Lytechinus pictus: one gene and its partner. The protein of the gene in region 2 purifies or fractionates together with the protein of the main gene of each other region. This does not show direct contact. Links are inferred from orthologs where the notes say so. Each region holds a gene or a part of one and is shown on either strand. Other genes may lie near its edges.

Evidence for each region. The genes of interacting proteins can lie anywhere in the genome.
Region 1: the proteins of U3 small nucleolar ribonucleoprotein protein IMP3-like (region 2) and something about silencing protein 10-like purify together in Homo sapiens (affinity purification with mass spectrometry; 3 studies listed by BioGRID and IntAct, with this or other methods). This does not show direct contact. The link is inferred for Lytechinus pictus from reciprocal best matches to the Homo sapiens genes IMP3 and UTP3.

The regions. Positions count from the first base shown.
Region 1 is NC_087258.1:9,776,558-9,782,357, forward strand, and holds the start of something about silencing protein 10-like, read right to left. Parts: upstream 3,731-5,800; coding exon 3,726-3,730; intron 2,934-3,725; coding exon 2,735-2,933; intron 2,199-2,734; coding exon 1,964-2,198; intron 1,213-1,963; coding exon 1,094-1,212; intron 134-1,093; coding exon 32-133; intron 1-31. UniProt on the Homo sapiens protein: Essential for gene silencing: has a role in the structure of silenced chromatin. Plays a role in the developing brain. Part of the small subunit (SSU) processome, first precursor of the small eukaryotic ribosomal subunit.
Region 2 is NC_087259.1:28,241,293-28,247,092, reverse strand, and holds the start of U3 small nucleolar ribonucleoprotein protein IMP3-like, read left to right. Parts: upstream 1-2,606; 5' UTR 2,607-2,707; coding exon 2,708-2,841; exon of another isoform or gene 2,842-2,862; intron 2,863-5,800. Other genes in the region: cilia- and flagella-associated protein 77-like, read right to left, coding at 259-599, 2,302-2,349. UniProt on the Homo sapiens protein: Component of the 60-80S U3 small nucleolar ribonucleoprotein (U3 snoRNP). Required for the early cleavages during pre-18S ribosomal RNA processing. Part of the small subunit (SSU) processome, first precursor of the small eukaryotic ribosomal subunit.

The DNA.
Region 1 (5,800 bases), on a different chromosome or scaffold from region 2:
CAATATATTGCAAATAAATTGGGTTCATTACCTCTAACTTTTCTCTCTTTGAAAGTTTGCTGAGATCTTTGGTGACCTTCTCCTCACTCTCAAGGTCATCTGTAGTTGCTTTTTCTACTTGTTTTTCACTGCTCTGTATAAATCAAAATAATGCAAATATTAACATCAAGTGGAAATGAATGCATTTATAAACTTATATTGATCTTGAGTTGACCTGTTGGAAACTGAGTCACATATATGCACTACACAAATACATGATGCCCCCCCCTCGATGCTTCGCGCGATATTTCCGAAACGCAAAAAAAAATAGCGCCGCAAAATTTTATGACTTTCTCGCGCAACTTTTGAGACCAAATTCGCGACACATGGGTATACCATCGCGACGCCACATGACTTTTTACGAGGCAATATCATGCCGAAAATGGCTCGTTTTCATACTTTGTGTACAAAGTCTACGGGAGATGAAATTCAGAAAAAGGTGATTATTTTTCAGTCTAAGTGGTCTGCTTAATTAATTTAGTTGTTTAATGGTCTGTGATAATTTCCATTGAAAAAAAAACAATGAAAAACAAAAGATGAAAAAACAATGAAATACATAAGAAATTCTGAAAACAAGAAAATACATTCGCAATTTTTCTTTGTGGAAACCTTTATATTAGATTACAAAGATGAAATCTGCAAAAAAAGAAGAAAATTTGAAGTGAAATAGGGTGTTAAATATGCAAATGTTTTTCATGAATAAATTTGCATATTTTATTAATAATGATTTTAAAAATACATTTTCAGATTTTTTTTTTTAATACTAGCTTGTAGTTTATGTGGTAAAGAATGTGCGTGCCAAATTTCGGCGCGATCGCGCGAACGGCTACCAAGATCAGAAGGGGGGCCATCATGGCCCCCCAATTCATCTCAAATAGCCCAGTCCTTTTAGGGTTAAGATATTGAGATCAAAGTCATCATCCTAGGGGGCTTCAGTCATCCTGATGTGAGTGGCTATACACGTAGCTCTTTCTCTTCAAGTGCATTCAGAAACAGGCTTTCAAACAGAAGATGATAGCTCACATATGATTAACAAAGATGATTTTATGCATACCTTGAAGATATCAAGACCAAAGTCATCATCCTGGAGGGCTTCGGCCATTCTGTTCTGGATGGCTAGGGCTTCTTTCTCTTCTGCTTCTTGGTTGGCAGTCTCCTCCAACTGATCCAAACCTACAAAAGTGGTCATGAAAAAAAAATGTACAAGAATGAAAATGAAAATAAAAAGACAATCAACAGGGAATTGAACCAGGTACCTTGTGGTTCAGATAGTCCTGACTGAGAGTTATCCACTGACCACTACACCTCAAAGTGCTATGGTGTAATAGATTTGATTCTCTTCTTTCAATCAAGATATCGTGAATTGGAATCCAATTTGGATACTTTAATCTTTATTGACAGTAAGAATGTCAACAGAAATGCACATAACAATTATTCCAAGAGAGAAAGCAACTTCAAAATTTCAAACATCGACAGACAAATGCAAAATGCAAAGAAATTACAGTGTCTTATGAAGGGTGCAATTGACTCAAATCAATCCCAACTGTAGAGGGCCAACATTGTTATCATTCGATGATAAGGAAGAGGTTCATCGTGGCGAATGATTGAGTAGAAGAGTAGTAATCAGTTGTCTCACGATGGATCAAACGTTGTTATGTACGTTGCTATGTTTCGTCAGGCAATAAACAAAGACATGATGTCATCATTCGTTTTCTCAAACTTCATATCCCAAGAAAATATTCTTGTAAAATGATGTCGAATGGCGCTTCCATCATCGATTAAACCAATCAGCATCAAACTCCATTTTGTCTACAAACGAACAGTGAGAACTTAATCTCGATAAGAAATTCTGGCAATATTGGCTCTCCATAGTTGAGCTTGTTTGAAACCAATCCCAACTTTTTATCAAAGAAGGATCACTCACCTGGAAGGTCATCATCCACATAGTCGGTGTCATAATAGTTCTGTTTTCTCTTTCCCCACGCCTTGGAGCTTATCTTGTCTGCATCCCCATCGCCTTCGTCGTCGTCATCCTCCTCGTCTTCCAGATCGCTCGCCATCTCATCCATCTTCTCCTGCCTCCTGAAGCGCTGCAATCTCTCTTTCAAGATGGCGTCCTCTTCATCGTCCTCGTCGTCCCAGCCAAGAACCTCTTCCTCCTACATCAAAAATAAAATGTCACTTGAGGTAAGATAAGATAACCAAGTTAGTGTTCTAAACTCATCGCCTTTATCTGCCGTCTCCATTTTTTTCCCCCGCCCCCCCCCCCCAAAAAAAAAAAACAACCTTAAAACTGTTTTGAACTGATACATCAATAGTTTTTTAAAGTTATCTCTGCACAACACCTGACACAAAAAATGGTTTACAAAAAAATTATGAAATTGGGATTTTCTTCATTGATGTTGATCAATAAGTGTCCTGTCTTACAAAGAATTTTGATTGATCCCATCAACCTCAACTACATAGAAATCAATCAATGTCATAATATTTCCTCCAGGAAATTTGTACATTGTCCTTTTGTAAACGAAGAGGGAGCATACTAAATTTTCAAGACAACGATGAATGTACGAATATACATCATATCTAATATAATTATGAACAAACATGTATTTTAGTTGGCATTGCTGGCTTTCCAGAGTTATGGTTGATCAGATAAATCACAACTTTTTGTAAGATGGAACGCACATCCATGTACCTCATTGTCAGAGCTATCAGCTGGTCCTAGCGCTGTGCCTACATCCAAGGAGATTTTTTCTTTGTTGGCATGAAACTCGTCAACTTCATCATAGATATAGTCCCTGGAAGACGGGTCTGGTTCTTTCTCTTTGGCGTATGCTCTAGGGTCATCACTGTCATAGTCAGATTCCTCCGCCTTCTTGCGATGGCCGCCTTTCCTGCCAAAGTTAGACAAACGGAACAATGTTATTGAGACTTTTAGGGGGTGTGTGGATCGTTCTTTGAAAGGATAGTAATTATTCATTCATTCATTGCTTGGGTAGACCTACTAATGGTAAAGTTTGGTATAGTCTATAGAACATTATAATTATTATAGATTTTATGCTTCAATACAATCAGCAATAACACACATCAAAACAAAACTAACAAGTAATATACATTAGAGGAAACTGACAAATGATAATGAAGGGGGGCCCCATGTCTGCGTGTGTACTAACTTAAGATTTTTTAACATGAAAATTTAATTATTTTTATTTCACAAAAATTTTCAGTTGACAGTGTTCCCTATATTCTTATAAGTGTGCCAAAATCTCATTAAAAAATTGAAAGAAATAGATCTAAATGATTTCCTTTGGAAAACTTTGGCCAGTCTTTTTCATATTGAACAAAAAATGATGCCCCATGTCTGTGCACACATTCACTATACACACCATTCAGGGATTTTGATGAGATAGGCTGCATTTTTAGGGCCAGCCATCAAATGAAATGCCCAGTTGGCACGAAATTCGATAATTTCCAGAGTCAGATTTTCTGATGAATATCCGTCTCATGCAGATGTAAAGTTTGTGGTCGTTGCTATCTATTTTTTTCTAGAACCACGCAGATACATGTTTGTGCTGACAAGGGCACATCGAAATGTTGTCCAATGATTGTGTAGCACAAACAGCCAAGCTCCGCACAGCTCACGGCAGTGATTCGGAGACCGCTGATTGGTTGATCGTGCAGATCACGTCATGATCACGTGGTCACAAAAATAATTCGGCCTAAAAATATTCGAAAGTATCGATAGCGATAACGATATCCAGTCACGTTTTCCACACTTACAATGGTCTCGGCTCGTGATTGGATCGCTCAAGTATCGTTTGAAAATCATTGAGGTTCAGTAATTTCTTGCATATTCCTTGTGCGCTCCGAAACCCGGAACTCCAATGACTTTGTATACGTTGCGATAGATTCTGTAACTGACAAACATGTGTCTATGGCGCTTTTCTGTATGATTTTGACAGAAAAGCGAGAAGTAATAAAAATACTCTTAACTATGCGATCGCGATATCGTTGAGAAAATAGTGAGAAAAATATATTCAAAATTGAAATTCTATGTCGATTTTGGTACGGGGTGATAGAGAATTGCACACTTGTTTTGATGCCATTTGTGCTGGGCATTGGGAGCCTTGCAATGCGCATGAATTTTCATTCATAAATTGGCATGTGATCATAGGCTAGCTGGCATAACCTTGTTCATAGAATGAGTGGCTAGCAGGATGACATCTAACCCAGCAAAGCGGGCCGGAGCCCAGGACTCGTCAGTGTAATACTAGTCAAATATATACTCTCCAAAATGGGGTAGAATGTGGTCGCAATAGCACTCCACATAAAAGGGGTAAAAATAAATTATGCACTTACCTCGATTATATGGATGAAGGTCTATCGTGAGTTTGTGACACACTAATCTTGACATCGAGGCACAAACTGGAGGCACAAACTGGACCCTCAAAAAAGGAAAAGTTCTGTCTCGTTCATTCTCCTTCTGTCAAAATTGAAAACAAAATGGCCGATCGATACCAAAACGACCGCGACATAGACGTCTAACTTTTCCTTTTTTTGAGGGTCCAGTTTGTGCCTTGATGTCAGGATTAGTGTGTCACGATAGACCTTCATCCATATAATCGAGGTAAGTGCATAATTCATTTCCCCCCCCCTTTTATTTGGAGTGCTAATATTGTGACCACATTCTACCCCATTTTGGAGAATATATGTTTGCCTAGTATTACACGGACGAGTCCTGGGCTCTGGCCCGCTTCGCGGGCTCCCTGGGTTAGATGACGTCATGTAATATTATACAGTTAGCAAAGTGTGTGCCGTTATGCAGTTATTCGTTTAGGCTATATTTCGACCTGAAGGGGGACTGCGTAGACTTTGGGGCCCTTATCATACAGTTATAATATTGATAATGCAGAATTTCTAACCAAGACTCAGATGGAAAATACAGATCTGGGCCACGGAAGGGGAGGAGCTTGAATTGATCTGGATTAAAGTTAGAGAGTAGAGGAGGCAGGAGGTAGGTATGTGACAAAAAATGAAAATCATCAAATATCAATAAATTTGGTATCATTTGAAAGCTCTTAAAAAGACCTTTCAAATGGTACCAAGAACTCTTATTTTCATCAAGAAATTATAAAGTTATTCCAGTTTAAGTCGCGCATATTCATCCAAATTTGTGGTCATTGTCTTAATGTAAAGTCAATGGAATACAGAACCGACTTTTGTGACCATTTTAAACTCAAGTCTTCAACAGGCTCTAACTTCTTTATTTTTGAGCCCTTTGAAGTAATTTAGGTATCAATGGAAAGGTGAAAGAAAGCTCAATTGATGTGTAATCACGTCACTTTGTAATTTTTCTTCTTTATATGTGTAAAATAATTTCTTCTAATTAATTCTAATAAATTATGCAAATTAAGCAAAATCACAATTACTCGCCTCTTTTTTGCCAAATGAAGGTGATCATAATTTATATAATATAATATCATGTAGATAATTTCCGAAATGAATTTGTTTAAAATATTGTTTTTGTAATTTCTAATGTATTTCTTTATTTTTCTGATATAAATTACAAGCTCTTTTTCAACTTTAGTATTGTATATATGTATGTAATGGGGGATTTTTTTTACATATGAAAATTATCATGCCTTTTGTACTTTGTATGACCAAATACAAATACAAGTGTGCTATTTTCTGATGTATTTGATTGTTTCACAATTTGTTATGTATAATATGTAGCTTTTGATTTTAGAGACAATGGAAATTT
Region 2 (5,800 bases):
GTTATATCTGGAAACTTCCATTGTTTATATCTGCTGCAGAGACTCATGCAAAGTTGTTTAAGGTATTTTTTGCAAATGTCTTGAACTCTATCCCAAACAGGAGTGTAACTTCATAAATTAACAGGAAAACAATTTTATGTAAAACTATGGCTCATTAATACCAGATATTTACGAACAGGATAATCGACTTATTTATTAGGATTGCTGCAAAAAAAAGAAGGAAGAGGAGGAGAAGAGGAAGAAGAAATCTTTCTTTACCTGGTTGAGATTCCAAAGGTCATGGATGCTGGTATCCTCTTAACTTTGGACTTGCTCTTCTCTTCATCCGATATCCTGCGCCTGACATCATGTGTTGCTCTGTACTGAAACTGATCGCTAGCCGTCACCAACCCAGCACCTATACATGCTTTGTTGAGAGCAATAAAGTCTCTTTCTGGTTTACGTTCTGTGTTGCTGATGGGCATCAAGGGACCACTAGGAGACCATCCTGATAGGGCTTCGGAGGCTCCATTATCTTTGCTCATGTTGGGACGTCCATATGTGAAGTTGGCATCAGCCGGAAGGCTGTATCCTCGTTGTAAAGGCCTTCCAAGTTGAGACTGGAATGTAAAAATAAAAAAAAAAGAGGAAAAATAATTTTCGTACTTGGTAGGGAACAGTTTGTTATTGTGCAAGCATCACTACAGTATGGCAGTGTGTCCAAACTTCGCGCGTGTCCATACTTCGCGGACGGTCCTTATCTCAAAAACTAGCCAATATCCTTAAAATCTGACATCATCAACGTGAAAAGCGACCTAAAATTACCCTGTAATGAAAACTTCTTTAGGATGAGTTCAGTATTCATGAAAATATTGGCAAAAGATCGGCAAATTTGTCACCACTAGTGCCCGTTTTGAAGAAATCAACAAGCATCACGATATCACCATTTTGCAAGCGGAAATCATCAAAAATGTGAGTTAAATGTGGTACTAACCGATTCCATAGCATTTTGCCATCAATCTGATATAAATCTTTCACTTTTTGAGCTTGAGTTTTTGTTTAAATCTCCACAAAAGCTTTGGTGCGCGAAGTTAGGTCACACTTTTCTGAACGGTTTTCCAGCACAGCCCGCATTTGCCGATCGGAATAGAATTTTGAGATCGCGATACTGGCGAAACCCCTTGACCTACTTAACATTTTCGTCCATGATTTTATAGTTTACGATCTTGCCGTCAATGTGGTAACTATTTCTTGAATTGGTTTTGTATAAATTATGAATATTTTGTGAACAAAATTAAGCCTGATGAATATTTTTGAAAAGTGCGCGAAGTTTGGACACCCCATCATACCATCAATCAACGATTGAAAAAAAAAAAAAATATTCTGGGAATAGATCCATCATCTAGATCTTAACAATTTTATTTTCTCTCTCCTTTTTCTGGTTTGTATCACCCCTGTTGGGTACCTAGATGGCTGGGCTAAATAACATGAATACTAAGTAAAAGTAAAAAATATTATGAATTATGATTGCCATCTCGACCTTGGACTTGGTGGTGCATGATGAATGATGATGCATCAGTTACTTTTTTGTTAGGTTCTATTATAAAATAGCTGTATTATTTCAAGCATCGCGATTGGTCAATACGCGTCACATGACATCCAACTTTTTTTGTGCACTGCACGGTAGTGCAAAAGGTGTGCAACGAAAATTGACATTGCACGCTCGAGCAAACCAGTGCGGTAGAAGTCCAACAAAACTGTACTGTAACTTTAAAAAAAATTGTTTCTGTGTTGCTATTTTATAAAACAAATAATGCACTTGCTCTGTCGTGCGTAAATGTAAATGCAGAGAAAGCTCGGTTTCTTCAGATGGAGCACACTGGGCACTCGCCGCAAGCGGCTCGTGCACAGTGCGACTCCTATCTAAAGAAACCTCGCGTGCTCTGCATTTCCACTAACGCACTCGGCTGCATGCATTATTTGTATACTATAATGTTAGACCCAAACTTAGATCTAGGCCTAACTTAGACCTTGATATAGAATCAGGGACAACTCAATCTCGTAATGGGTGGGACAACTCGGCCCGCGGTCCGAGATGTCCCGTGGTCCGAGTTGACCCGACCCCTTGATATAGGCCTAAATAAATCAGAAATACTGTAGATTTTTACTTAGTGGGGCGATTAGATCTTTAGACTAAACATTATTCAATAATTCTAACTTAGGCCTATAGAACCAAAAACACCGGCCACCTAGCATCTCCCCTTAAGGCTTAATATTATTAACCATTAAATCAAGAGCAAAATTTAATACGAAAATATTCACCTTTTTGAGCAGCGGGTTGTCAAAAGGAGCTGTTGATGGTGCACTCATTGTTTTTCCTCTTTCGATTTCTATGAAGATTGGATTTAGATCTACCGGTATAGCCTAAAATAATATCCAGTTTAGCTTATTCCACGCCGCCAGTTCTTGCATTAACGCCTTGTTTTCACAAGCGATGAGATTCACATGGACATCATCAATGCAACAACGCAACACAAGCAGAACATTAACAGTGAACAGGTGCATGTAACCAAAACAAAACTGTATTGGGCGTGTATTGATTCGCATCTCCATGGGGATGAGTCGCAGAGGGCGACAAACGTGTGACTGAATATCCGTGAGTCCACGTGCGACTTGTTGACATTCTTCCTGATCTTGCCAGCTTGCCTTGAATAAAGACCTCGTAATCATGAGAAAATTGAAGTATCATGAACAGAAGTTGCTGAAGAAGGTTGACTTTATATCATGGGAAGTTGACAACAACCTACATGAAGTAAAAATCATGCGGCGTTACCACATTCAAAAGAGGGAAGATTACACAAAGTAAGTGCAGAATTTTTATGTGGTCCCATATGTTTCTTTTTACGTTTCTTTATCCACAAGTTCACTAAATCTATGCTTGTAAAGTTAGACCGGGCTCAATCCCATCTGATTAAGCAAGTTCTAGGGGTCCCAAAGACTGCCGCTGACGAGATTGTCTACCTCCTCACTGACCTCCTTCCAGTCTCATCACAGATAGATCTCAGGAAACTGCTGCTTCTAGGCCAACTCGTCAACCTCGATCACACACGCTTTGAGTTTAGAACATTCTTAGAAGCCCTCAACTTCACTCTGGGGCTACACCGCTATTCCAACGCGTGTTGGAAAAGTCGACGCCAGACGGGTACGTTTTGGCCTTGAATTTCCAGCAAATTAATCAAAATTACGGCCTAAATTTAGGTCTATGTTATCAATTATATACTAATTTCATAATTATAATGTAATATACGGGTACTCACGGGTTCTTTTCTTTCCAAATTTTGTGTTTTCATCGCCTCTTCTGGCCAACTCTTGCGATGGATTTTGTCGCCATAGGATCCTGTACGTGCAAATCCAGGGCGAGTTGTCACATGACGCTCGCGAGTCTCTAGGGGTAATGGCCTTTAATCAAGGCGTTCTTTTTGCTATAATTTTATAATGACGCTTAAATATCGAAATCAATGTAGACGAGTCTGTGCAGGGGCATAACAGGGGTATATAAGAGGGGGCATAGTACATGTCGCATGTGGAAGATACAAGTTACGTAATGTAAGTCCCGAGCACTAGCGTACCTAGGGGGGGGGGGCAGTCTGCCCCCCCCCCCCCCCGATGAGTCACAAACCCATGCAAATTACATATCTCTGCCCCCCGGCCCCCCTGACGAGCTTGAAAACCTATTTTGCCCCCCCCCCCGACGAGCTTGAATACCTATTTTGCCCCCCCTGGCGAGCTTGAAGACTTTTTTTTTCTGGTACGATTGAAGACCTTTTTCATTGAAGAGCCTTTTTTTCCTTTTTTTTTGCTTGTCAAATTTTTTGGTGGCCGATTTTGCCCCCCTGTGGAAAATCCTAGGTACGCCATGCACTGCCCGCGCTACATGTATGTTGGTAGCCCTGGGACCTCTGGATATTAACTAATCCAATTTAATTACAGATGGCAGATTTTTTTATTATCTGAGTAGCCCCCCCCCCCCCCCGGATTATTTGTTCTCACATTACTTTCCTTTTTAAATTTCCTTTCGTTCTTTCTTTCATTTTTCTTTCTTTCTTCCTTCCGTTGCTCCTATGTTTTTTTTTCAGGTGAAATCCACTCGGGGGATGGCCAGCCATGCCCCCATCTGTTTATGCCTCTGAGATGTAGGCTATACTCATGATCTTAATCTTCGATTTTCCAAAGTAGGGGGGTGCAATTTCTCAAGTAAAATTTGACAACCCCCCCAAAAAGGTTATCACAGAAAAATTGTCATTTTGTCTCGCGTAAGATTTGACAAGTAAAAAGAAAAGATGGTTACTAAAAATAAAAGACTCATTTTGTCCGTGTAATATTTGGCAAGCCTCCCCCCCCCCAAGTTTAACATATCGGAGGCGCGATGGCTCAGTCGGTAGAGCAGGGGTTTCGGATTCCGGTGACCCGGGTTCGATTCCCAAGTGGTGCGCTAGTGCCCTTAAGGCTTATCCTCATTACCAGGTCCCTCGGAGAGGACCTTAAGCCGTTGGTCCCCTGGTTGCTTGCTCACAGGCATTCGTGCTTTTTTAGCAGTCAGGTAAAAAATCTCGATATAACATAACATTAAAAAAAAGTGAAGGTCATTTTGTCCTGCGTGAAATTTTAAAAGTAATAAAAAGATGGTCACTAAAATTGAAGTTCATTTTGTTTGTGAAATATTTGGCAAGCCCCCCTCCCAAAAAAAGGTTTTAACTAAAAATGATTGAAGGCCATTTTGTTCCTCTTAAAATTTGTCAAGTATAAAAAAAAAAAATCACTAAAAAATGAAGGTCATTTGTCCCACGTAAAATTTGACAAGCCCCCCCCCCTAAAAAAAAATGAAAGGTAGCTGATAATGATTGAAGATCATTTTTTCTTGCATAACATTTTACAAAAAAAAGTGTGTCACTATTTGGCGAGCCCCCTACCCTCCAAAAAAAAGGTTTAATTAATAATGATCGAAGGTCATTTTGTCTCTCGTAAAATTTGACAAATAAAAAAAAAGTTGTCACTAAAAAAAGAAGGTCATCTTGTCGCGCGTTATATTTGGCAAGCCCCCACCCCCCTAAAAAAGTTTGTCATTAAATATAGAAAGTCATATGTTCAAAGTAAAATAAATTTGGGAAGCAAAAAAGAAAAGGACAAAAAAGAGCAAAGAATATGAACAAAATATCCCCATTACAAATATTGCTGTGATTCTCATAAGGAGGTGGGGGGGGGGACTTAACTTTGTACGAACGACATTTTTTTTTTACATCCAAAATATTGACTATGAATCTCAAAAGGTGGAACAGGCCAGAAATGCTCAACCCCCCCCCCCCCCCCCCGATCTGCCATTGATTCCAATCGATAATGACTTTTCCCTGCAATACTGATGCTTGAAATCAAGATACTGAAGATTGATATATTGTAATATAAATTATGAACGTCTGACAAAAAGATAACCAACCGATCACCTGACCGATCAGCTGACCAGTACGTGAATCACATCGTAGTTGATCAGTCCCCACAGCGTTTGGAACGCTCACCAAGAATTCAAGAAAAAAGACTGAAAATGTAAGTTTAACCTCAATCCATTAAATTTCAAATGTCGTAGAAGTTTCCTTATCATGTTTAAAACTAATTAATACCTAAATTGTTACCATCCACTATGTATTAAGGCGTACATTTGCCAAAGTTCTTGGGTGCAAATAGAAACGGCAATGTCTAACCGGTTTTATCGCTGATGTCGCCTATGAGGTCCATACATGTAATGTTTGGACCTCATTGGTACTAGGAG